3 linked regions of the Sus scrofa genome follow. The protein of the gene in region 1 interacts with the protein of each later gene in a biochemical or structural test. Links are inferred from orthologs where the notes say so. Each region holds a gene or a part of one and is shown on either strand. Other genes may lie near its edges.

Region 1 (3,746 bases):
AAAAAAAAAAGAAGAATATATATATATATATATATATATATATATATATATATATATATGTAAGAGCTTCAAAATACGTGAAATAAAAATTGACAGAAATGGACAGATCCACTGTTGTGGTTTGAGATTTTAATACCTTAGTCTCAACTGTTGATAGAACAATGAGATAAAAATAAACCAACAGCAAACCAGTAAAGACGTAAGAAGATCTCAAACACACTATTAACCACCTTGACCTAATTGACGTTTTGGACCCTGCACCCAGTTTCAGAACACGCCTTCTTTTCACCAAGATAGACCTCCTGCTGGGCCATCCGGCAGGTCTCCCTACATTTAACAGGACTGCAGCCATACCAGGAAAACAAAAGACTTAGACTAAGTATGTTTCAGAAATAAACAGCAGAGGAAGGATAACAATGACTCTTTCGCAATTAAAGCACTTCTAAGTAATCCGTGGGTAAAAGAAGAAACCAGGAGTTCCTGCTGTGGCACACAGGGTTAAAGATCCAGCATTGCCTCAGCTGTGGCCCAGGTGGCATTGCAGCCCAGATGCATTCCCAAGCCTGGGAACTTCCATATGTCTCGGGTGCGGCCAAAAAAAAAGAAGAAGAAAACGCAGAGGGAAATAGAAAATATCTTGAATTAAGAGAAAATGAAAACCACAGTGTGTCAAAGTTTGACTGGCACCTAAAGCGGTGCCAAAGGAGGTGTGTCTCTGAAACCCTTTGAAAAGGGATGTTCGGCATTCAGTGCTTCCAGCCCTCTGGTTAGGACCGATCTTTCTCTTGCCCTGTGCTCGGTATATTTGCCTCGATAGCAGTAGCAACTGTTGGACGCACCCCTCTGCTCACCTATCGGTCCCTTCCTTTCTAAACCTTAAGAGCCCTTTAAGGACAAGTGCTGCTGTTGCTGGCACTGTTTTGTCTCTCATTTCTAGTACAATGCATGACACTTTGTGGGGTCTCTGTGAGCTCTGCACGGAAGCTCGCGAGTGGAGCGGATGCGCCCGAGCGCCGGGCGAGGGTTCACAGACTGAGCATCCGCAGCCCCACCTTAGAGCTGAGAAAGCAGCCGCCCGGCCGGGGTCGGTGGAGCCAGCGACCAACCCACGTTCCCGTTGGTCCTCAGACATTTTCCTTCCAGCCCTGAGGTGCTGACAGAAACCTCACCGGGGGTGGTGAGACCCGTCTTCCAGCCGGAGGGCAGGATTTATTCCCGAGTCAAACGGGAAGCCTCAACCGGCTGTCAAAAGCATTGAGTCGTCTGTGGGCTCTGCAGGTTGGACCAGGGGGCCCTTCCACAAAGGCCCTGGGAGGACAGGGCCGACGGCTCTCCTGCCGGGGGGCCCCCCGCCTTTCCCAGAGCCCACTCAGTCTGCAGAAAGTGCTGGAACTTGAGGCCTCAGGCGCGGCCCCACGGGGAGGGGGCGGGGGCCCTGCACCACGAGAGCCTCTCGTTTCTCTATTTTCTACCTCGGTTTCAGTTCTTAACTGGCGTTTGTTTCCCCTTTGTCTCTGGTTCATCTTCCTTTTCCTGTTTGGCTCTAAGCAGAGCCTCAGCGTCACGTCGCTGCCTCCCCGGGGTCCGTGGCCCTCTGGTCAGCGGGCCCAGTGGGATCCACGACCCACCGCCTCGCTGCTCCGTGCCGCAGCCACGCAGCCATGGCCACCGTGTGAGTATGGGGACCAGGGGACAGGGGCGTCCGGAGGAGACCTGGAGCCGTGATAGCAGAGAGCCGAAGGCCCTGGAAACCCTCCCAGACCCGCAGGTTGCACGCATGGGGAGACCAGCTGTCACACCGCAGGTCGTGCGGAGCCCGCGCGCGCTCATCTGCGGGTCTGGCCGCCACACCGGCCCGGGTCCCTCGATGGCTGTTGTCTTTAGGCACTTTGTGTGCGTTTGGAAAGCGCCGCCTCAGAAGTCCAGGTGGCGGAGGGGGCTCTGAACCATGTGAGGGGGTTGGCATTCGGCTCAGAGGTGCTCCGATGGGTCCTGGGTTCTCCTCTGGGAATGGCCTGAAGACACTCGAGCGGTTTTCTCTCAATACTGGGCAGGAGGGAAGAAGTGGGGTACGCTTTGTAGTGGAAACTTCATGGGCCGTAACAGCAGGACCCCAAACGTCTGCTTTAGACACCTGTGGCTGACTTTGGGCCACCGGTCACTTAGACTGTTGTGGTTTCACGTGCATGTGGGCACCAGCCTGTTTGCGTCCTGCACATGTAACTTCTAAAAGTGAGATTGCGTTTTAGACATGCCTCTCCCTGCCCTGCAGCTCCATGAAAGACAATGGGCCACAGAGCAGGCTTTCATCCCCTGGAATCGGGGGCATTTGCCTGGTCCACTCCTTGCAGCTTTGCGTCTTAGCACAGAATTGTCATCCTGCTCCTTAAAGTTACTTCCCAGTTCCCACACTGCAGTTTGACCCATTCCCTTATCTGATGCTTCCAGCCTTGTTGGGTGGGTCAGCTCAGGGAGGGGATACTGGTGTCCTGTGGAGGAGGAGGCCTGGCCTCTGACGGGCCATGGCGCTTGCTCAGGGTTGCTTAGGAGGAGAAGCTTCCAGGACATGGGCCAGGCTCTCTGGGAGTGCCTTGCAATGCCTTGTGAAAGTGGATGGTGCGGGGAGTAGGGCTGGTGCCATGCTCCTGGTCAGCGGGGGAGCTCTGGGGAGGGCAGTGCTCCCGCCTCAGAGCGCAGCCTTGGCCAGGTGCTGGAGTCACTGCCTCCAGGCCCAGCGCTCATAGAGCCAGGGCAGGTGCTGTGTTTACAGTTGGCTCTGTTCCTGCTCCCTTGCGGCCATGTTTCCCATCATTTTAGTCATTTTCCTTGAGCCTTAGAAGGTTTGTGGGTGGAGCTGTGGAAAACAAGACTTTCCATTTCAAAGGCCTGTTACCTTCCAAAGTGGGCAGGAACCAGTCATCTTCAGCTGAAAGTTACACCATGAAAAGCACAGTGTATCCTGTCAGCTGCCATTGCAGAAAATACCGTCAGAAGTAAGTGAGGAGGAAGCAAAGCAGGTGTCAAAAATCCTTGAATTAAAAGTGTGGAAATCTTGGAGAGCCCATTGTGGCTCAGTGGTTGGCGACCCCGACTCGCATCCATGAGGACACGGGTTCGATCCCTGGCCTCGCTCAGTGGGTTAAGGATCTGGTGTTGCCGTGATCTGTGGTATAGGTTGCATACGCAGCTTGGATCCCACGTTGCTGTGGCTCTGGAGTAGGCGGTCGGCTACAGCTCCGATTCGACCCCTGGCCTGGGAACCTCCGTATGCCACGGGTACGGCCCTAAAAAGACAAGAAAGACAAAAAAGAAAAAAGAAAAGGTATAGAAATCCTAGGCGTTTCCATATTGAAAGCAGCTGAGAGCCCATCCAGCGTGGACTGTGTAGGTTAGTGGTGCCTTAGGCATCGCACCCGCCACTTCAACCAAATTTACTCTCTTTTATCTTTTTTAAGCAGTCCTCAATATTTCTTTGAGGAAAAAAATTGTATTTTGCTGGTGATAATTTTGAAATCTGAAAATGATTTTTTTTAGTCCAGCTCTGGGGCACCCAGGTCGGGCCGTCGAGGCAGCGTTTGTCTTGAGCGAGTTGGCCCCGTCCAGCCACTGCGAAGCCGCCCTGCACAGCCGCTGTAAGGCCCGCAGCGTTTGCTTGGGCACATGCTTGCCCGGCTGAGCTGGAACAGCTGGATTCCTCAGTCGCCGTGGCGCCTGAGCCAGCGGGGTCCCCAAAGGCCTCAGGGTCC
Region 2 (3,746 bases), on another chromosome or scaffold:
CCACAGCTTCAGTGGCCCTCTACACACGATGATTTCCAAGAGCTCAGCTCCGTTCCGGGCCCCTCCCTGAGCTCCAGATACACTCAGTCGGCGGCCTACTCACCACCCCACCTGGAGGTCTCAGAGGCCTCTCAAACCCACACACCCGTTCCTGTTTCTCTCTGCCATCCCCTAACTGGTCCCCGTTCAGGACGCCGGCTCAGGGAATGACAGGACCAACCATCCTGCTGCCTATACCAGAAGGAGGGGACCATTCCAGACGCGACCGTCCCCTCGCGCTGCATATACTCAATCCATCCCCAGGTCCTGACAATTTCTCTCCAAGAGAAAACTCTGGACTTGATCCACTGTCCACATCCACTACCGACAACTGTCCACCCCAAGGACAAGGACCTTAAGATTAAAATTCTCAACATGGCTTCAACTGTCCAGCTCAGTCTGGCCTCTGCCTTCCTCTCCAGCTCTGGCACTCTGCTGTCCAGCCGCGCTGGCCTTCTTTTGATTCCTCGAAGACACTGTGCCCTCTCCCTCCAGAAGGTGTCTGCGTGCGATTCCCCTTCTCCCGGGAACGTCCTACCCTCCCAGCCTGGCCCTAGTAACCGTCCTCTACCTCTTAGTTCCAGCAGCATGTTCTCAGCGAAGCCTTCCTTCCCCCCTCCTCCCCCAGATCAGTGTAGCCTGTGCTCGCTGGTGCTCTCAAGGCAACACCCCCCCCCCCGTGGTATTTGTTAAATTTGCAATCTTATTCTTATCTGATTCCCCCTGGACTGTCAGCTGCGGGGTATCAGATAAAGGCGGACACAGACGCAGTCCATTGTGCTCGAAATTATACCATCAGTGCCTAACAGTACCTGGTATGTATTACGTGTCCAAAACGTATCTGCTGCGTGAATAAATGATTAGATAGACCCCTTTTTTCCTTTTAGGGCTGCAGATGCGGCATACGGAAGTTCCCAGGCTAGGGGTTGAATTGGAGCTGCAGCTGCCAGCCTACACCACAGCCACAGCAATGCTGGATCCTTAACCCACTGAGCATGGCCAGGGATCGCACCTGCATGCTCGTGGATATCAGTCAGGTTCAACGGAACTCCTTATTTTATTTTGTTTTTTTAAGGAAAACACTATATTAGAGTATTAAGGGGAGGGAGGCAGCAGGGTATAGGCTCTCAGAGCGATCAAGGGAAAGAGGAGGCGGGGGTTATGGCCTAGGTTAAGCTTGGTGGCAGTGGGTGAGATGGAGTGAAATGAATGCATTTGAAAATCACTTGGGTAGTGGATGTGACAGAATTTGATGACACGAGACGTAGCGAATGAGAGAGAGAGAGGTTCATCTAGACTGTAGCCCAGGATTCCAGTTTGGTAACTGATTGGGAAGTAGCCATTTCTGAGAGTTGAAGGAGGAGTCGATTCAGAAGAACAGCAGAAAGGGAACACGGGGAGGACAACACAGCTTGGGATCTGTAAGTCTGGAATTCCTGTTGGACTTTCAAGGGGATGTCAGGAGGCCAGGTGGAGGCTGAGTCTGGAGTTCAGGAAGAGATCTGGGCAAGATAGATAAGGCTGGGAATTATATTTCTATATATAAGTGGAATATATATATAATGGAATATATATATATAAATGGAATATATATATATATATAAATGGAATTGGAGGCCTTGAGAGTGAACGAAATACCTGAAGAAAAGGTGCCGAATGAAAGAAGATAGCCCAGGAAAGAAGCAAGAATCTCACCACCATCGAAAGGGAGGGAAGGAGGGAGCAAATGAGATGGAGAAGGAGCAGACAATGCTGCAGGGGAGACCAGGAAAATGTTTCAAGGAGAGTGACGTCCCCCACGAGTGCTCGGAAACGTGAGGGGATAGCAGGAAAGCATCCACTGGGGTTGGCCACATGGAAGTCTCCAGTGACCTTGGCTAGAGCAGTTTCCGCGGGTGCCAGAGGCAGAGGATGGAGTGAAGTGGCTTTAGGAATGAATGGGAAATGAGGAAATAAACACAGCAAGCGCAGAGGAGGAACCCGCTGTAAGGACGGGAGGGAGCTGGACTCTGCGGAGGGGCTGGGAATGCAAGCAGCAGCACGGGCAGATGCAAAACTGGTTCGAATACCCTCCGCATTGGCAGTGGGAAAGCGGCTCCTAGGGAGCGCTCCTGCCAGCGCTAGGCCTCCCCGAGCCCTGGGGACACAGCCGGCGCCAGGGCACACCCCTCGGTCGCTGAGGGCAACAGAATGCGGCTTGACAGATGCCAGGCCTGGGACCCTGCAGGAATCCCTGCGGCCTGTCTGCCTGCCTCACCCCGCGTCCCCCTCCCCGTCCTAGACCTCCCCTCCCCCACCCCCACCGCCCCCCTCTTCCCGTTCCCCCTTCTCGCTTCCTATTCATCCCGGAGAGGCAGGAGGTAAAGGTCGGGGAGGGGACGGGGTGAGGACCGAAGTGGGGTCGGACCTGGTAAGGGAGGAAGAGATTGGGGGGGTCGGAATAGGCGGCGGGAGGGCCGCCTGCCCGGACCGGGCCTGGCCGGGGGACAAGGGGCGCCACAGGGCTCCGGCTGCGGGGTCCGCCGGCCGCCGGGGACCGGGATCCGAGCGCCCGGGCTGGGCCTCGGCAGGGGCAGCTCCTACCTGCGCGGGGAGGCCCCAGGCCCAGGTGGCGGAGGTGGCTCAGGCTGCGGGGCTCGGGCTCCGCGGCGGCTTCTCCATCACAACATCCCCCGCCCAGGAGCGCGCGGGCCGCGGGGCCGCGCCCGGAGCGGCGGGGGCGCGCGCCGGGCCGGGCTGGGGGAGGGGCGCCATCTTGGGCCGGGCGCGGGCGCGAGCGCGGGCGCGGGCGCGAGCCCCCCGCGGGCCCCTCCCCACGCGGCCTTGGGGCCTCGGGGAGCCGCGCCGCCCCGGCGCCCTCGCCCGCCGCCGTCCCCGCGCCCGGCCCCCGGGTCCCCGGGCGCTGCCCCGGCCTCGGCCGCCCCCCGCCCGCCCTCCGCCGCGAGGCCCCGGACTCACCGTGCGCGCCTGTCCGGGCCTCGGCCCCGCACCCCGGCGGGGCGACGCGCCACGGGGATGGAGCGGGAGCGGCGGGGCCGGGGCGGGCGCGCGGGCAGCGGCGCGGAGGAGGCAGCCTGCGGGGCCCCGGCGGCAGCCCTCCCTGGCGTGCTGGTGGAGCGGCGAGGCGCACGCGGCGTGGGCGGTAATAATAGTAGCCGGTGTCTCTCGACCGCTCACGCCGTGCCAGGCGCGGCGGTGAACCCTTCCCACGCGCTCGTCCTCACAGCGGCCCTGTGCAGTCGCCGCGGCGACCGTCCTCAGTTTTCCTGGGCAGGTGCTCAGGTTCAGGAAGGTAAAGCGACTTGCCCGCGGTCACAGGTAAGCGGGGACCTCACGCTGGAACCCAGGTGTTCCCTCACCCCCACCCTGTCGTCGAACACGATCGCGTGACACCAGGGCCTTGCAGACGTGGCAGATGAATTGCTCTCCAGTGGAAGCTCCCGGGAGGGAGGGAAGAAGGCAGAACGTGGACGACAGGCGTAAGCAGGGAATGGGGCGGCCCAGTGTTGCACAGCGGCCCGGATGGTGGGCTAGTTCCCAGCGGGCAGGTCAGTGGCCCAGAGGCCATCGAGGCTGGTGAGGGGGGAGATTACCAGCCAGAAACCCTCTTCTGGCTCATTCCTCCAAGACAGGTTTTCATTTCTTATACCTACGGAATATTGAGCAAGCGACTCAAGATGTCCTCAAAGTGCCGAAAACTAAAAATG
Region 3 (3,686 bases), on another chromosome or scaffold:
TCTCAGCATCTCTTAAGACACTTTTCTTCCCTCATCAGAGAATGCTATTCCTTGACTATTGTTGTTAATTTCCATACCCATACTACTCCATCCACTTGTACTCCATCTCCTATTCTTCGCCCAGGAAAACCCTGCTCACCCTTTAAAACCGGAATAAACTTTCTAGCAAACTACGGTAAGATTTATAGTCTCAAAATCAATGTTCCCTTCCTTGCAGTTCTGCAAATCTCCAGTAAAGTACCACAGCCTGACTAATATTTCAGGTGTTCCTCTTTCTCCTTCACTAGCTCTGTGTTCCAGTTTCATCCATCTACTCAAGGGTCCTCAGCTCCACCACCTACAAGGGCCAGGGAGCGCCTGGCTCTGGAATTGGAGAGTCAGGGGCTCTGAGAAATCTGAAGGGCCAAATGCCCCAGCTTAGATACCTAACAAATCAAGAAAAGCTCTCAAGAACCTACGTATTTCCCAGAGGGGCTGAGGAGCCCGCCCGCAGTGCACACTGGGAGACGTAGTTTGGGGCCGACCCACTACCTCTTGGGAGTTGTAGTCCTTGGTTTCGTAAAAGGAAGAAGGAGGCGACTTCCAAATTTTGAATTAGTCCTTGTGGGAAAAAGAAGAGGGAAATCCATAACCTTCTGCAAGGTCTGGGCCCTATCTCTGGGTCTCAAGAACGTTGGCCAAAGGGGAGGAAGGCGGATCCGAGAGGGGCGGGGAGACGTTACGTTGACGCGGACGTGACCCTGCCCAATAGCATTTGGCGGGATTTCCGAAGGCTGCAGGTTCGGCGCGCGCTGCGGCCTGAGACCGAGGTCTGAGGAGAGCTCAGACGCGCAGCTGGGAGCTGAGAAGTTTCGTGTATTCCGTGCCGAAGGCCGGAGCAGGGGAGTAGAGAGGTGGACGCTGCGAGGGGCTCTGCACTCCGTCCGGGGTCGAGCGCGCGCGGGTCCAGCGGACTGAGGTTCGGAACGCTCAGCCGGCCAGAGCGGGTAGCGCTGCAGGCCGAGGTGAGTGTGAGGCGCGGACCCGGCCCCTTCCCATCGCGGGGTTTGGCTAGGGGTAAGCCGGACTCGGACTGGACCCAGGCCCCGGGCTCCAGCTCCCGCCGCCGGCTTGCGGGCCCCTCCGCGCCAATTGAGAAAGTCGGAGAAGGCGGGGCGGAGCTGGGATGTGCCCTGGCAGATCTGACCCTGGCAGCTCTTTGTGGCGAAAATAGCAGCTCACTCTAGTCTTTGGAGCTGGGAGGAACTTAGAGGCCTTCACTTCCAACATCCACTTTCTGGGCATGGGCCAGGAAGCCAAGACCCAGAGAAGTGTAGAGCCTTAAAATCACAACTGTTAAGCCAGAGCCAGGGTTTCCGGATTTCTGGTCAGTCCCTTTTCCATAACACAAAGTTTAGCTTACAAAATACCCACCTCCAGTTGCCCAAAAGATATTTGAATTGTCTGATGTGGGAGACCTTTCACGTGATGCCTAGGGAATGATCTGTAGCGAGGTTTGTTGTTTTTTTCCTTAAACTTTAAAGTGAAGTGTAATATAGAAAAGTGTACAGATCGAAAGTGTATACAGCTTCATGAATCGTTATAAAACGAATATATACCTGTGTAATCACCACTCATGTCAGAAATAGATTTTTCTCAGCACCCCGGAAGCCTCCCTTGTGCCCCCTTATCTAATACTCTCCTTTCTCCCGAGAGCTAACTAGTTGACAGACGGCTAACACCGTTGACTAATTTTGCCTGGTTTTGATTTTTGGCCGCACCAGGGACAGCCCCAGGACAGTGATGGAACCCGCCCAACAGCAGGACAACGCCAGATCCTTAACCTCCTAAACCATAAGGGAATTTCTCCGTTTTTGAGGGTTTTTTTTCTGTCTTTTGTCTTTTCAGGGCTGCACCCATGGCATATGGAGGTTCACAGGCCAGGGGTCGAATCGGAGCTGTAGCCGCCAGCCTACTCCACAGGCACAGCAACGCCTCCCCAACCCACTGAGCAAGGCCAGGAATCGAACCTGCAACCTCGTGGTTCCTAGTCGGATTCGTTAACCACTGAGCCACGACGGGACCTCCTGTTTTTGAGTTTTATGTAAGTAATACTGTATATTTTCATGTCTGGCTTTGCTCAACATTTTGTCTTTAGATTCATACGTCTTTGCATTTGGCAGTAGTTCTTTCTGGTTGCTGTATTGTATTTCTTACTCATTTTACCTGTGGTAGATATCTGGATTTTTTTCTGCTTCTCAGCTTTTATGAGAAAGGTTGTGGAGAACATTCCCACATACATTTTGGTGCACACGTGTATGGTTTGCAGTTGGTTAATAACACAGAGTAGTGAAATTCCTGGGTCATGGCATTTGTCTATCTTTTCTTTCTTTCTTTTTTTTTTTTTTTTTGTCTTTTTACCTTTTCTAGGGCCTCTTCTGCAGCATATGGAGGTTCCCAGGCTACCAATCAGAGCTGTAGCCACCAGCCTATGCCACAGCCACAGCAACGCTGGATCCTTAACCCACTGAGCAAAGCCAGGGATCGAACATGCAACCTCATGGTTACTAGTTGGATTTGTTAACAGGTGAGTCACGATGGGAACTCCAGCATTTGTCTATTTTCACCTTCCATATTTAATACTAGTTTTCTAAAGTGGTCTAATTTACACTTAAACCAGCGGTGAATGAGTGTTTAGTTATCCTACACATTGGCTAACATTGTCAGTCTTTTAAATTTTAGCTATTATATAATGGTTTTAATTTTAATTTTCTTGATTAATGAAGTTGAGCATTTGTTGATAGGTTTATTAGCCACTGGGGTATCTTCTGTTATGAAGTGCTTGTTCACATCTCTTGCCTATTTTTCTACTGGGTTGTCTTTCTTATTGATTTGAAAGAATTCTCTATGTATTCTGGTTATCAGCCCTTTATATTCATAATTGTGGTAAGTATAACAGTTTATTTTTGTGGTAAATATTTTCTCCTCGCATTTTTCATTCTTTCAGTGGTGTATTTTGATGAACAGGAGTTCTAAGTTTAAATATAGTCTAATTTTCCAGTCTTTTCCTTTTTGATTATTGCTTTACGTGTGCAGTTCAAGCCACCTTTTTCATAAATTACAAAGGGAGATATTTAAATTGCATTCAGGTGATCCTGATATTTGGAATTATAGATCACATTATGCTAAATCCTCAGTCTAAGAGCTGTACTTGAAATACTCAAGAACAAATGTCATCTTTCAAGTCCAAGAATGGAGATTTATTTTCCTTTTCTCTTTTCTTTCTTTTTTTCTCTCTTTCCCTCTTTCTCTCTTTCTTTCCCGCACCTGTGGCATATGGAAGTTTCTGGGCTATGGATTGAATCCCAGGCACAGCTGTGTCCTGTGCCACAGCTGTGGCAACTCCAGGTCCTTAACCTGTTATGCCACAGCAGGAACTCTTGTCTGTTTTCTTTTGAGTTAAATTTATCCTATTGTTAAATTGTCCAGCTTGTTGTGGTGTGATTTGAGTCCATTTATTCTTGTGGACATCAATACTTGTTTGCTTTTACAATACCTCAAGAAGATATTTAACATTTTTTTGTTCTCCGTTCTTTTCAAACTGAGCAATCTTAACTCTTATCATATTAATCTGACTTTTCGTATACCCCTTACACTTATGGAATATTTCAAAATGAGTAGGATACCTGCATATTACTTACTCATTT

The links. The genes of interacting proteins can lie anywhere in the genome.
Region 2: the proteins of EVL (region 1) and APBB1 form a complex in vitro, tested with the Homo sapiens proteins (2 studies listed by BioGRID). The link is inferred for Sus scrofa from reciprocal best matches to the Homo sapiens genes EVL and APBB1.
Region 3: the proteins of EVL (region 1) and RAD51 form a complex in vitro, tested with the Homo sapiens proteins (2 studies listed by BioGRID and IntAct). The link is inferred for Sus scrofa from reciprocal best matches to the Homo sapiens genes EVL and RAD51.

Annotation. Positions count from the first base shown.
Region 1 is NC_010449.5:120,986,724-120,990,469, forward strand, and holds the start of EVL (ena/VASP-like protein), read left to right. Parts: upstream 1-1,527; 5' UTR 1,528-1,661; coding exon 1,662-1,672; intron 1,673-3,746. UniProt on the Homo sapiens protein: Ena/VASP proteins are actin-associated proteins involved in a range of processes dependent on cytoskeleton remodeling and cell polarity such as axon guidance and lamellipodial and filopodial dynamics in migrating cells.
Region 2 is NC_010451.4:3,302,366-3,306,111, reverse strand, and holds the start of APBB1 (amyloid beta A4 precursor protein-binding family B member 1), read right to left. Parts: upstream 2,766-3,746; 5' UTR 2,623-2,765; intron 1-2,622. UniProt on the Homo sapiens protein: Transcription coregulator that can have both coactivator and corepressor functions. Adapter protein that forms a transcriptionally active complex with the gamma-secretase-derived amyloid precursor protein (APP) intracellular domain.
Region 3 is NC_010443.5:130,637,196-130,640,881, reverse strand, and holds the start of RAD51 (DNA repair protein RAD51 homolog 1), read left to right. Parts: upstream 1-773; 5' UTR 774-1,004; intron 1,005-3,686.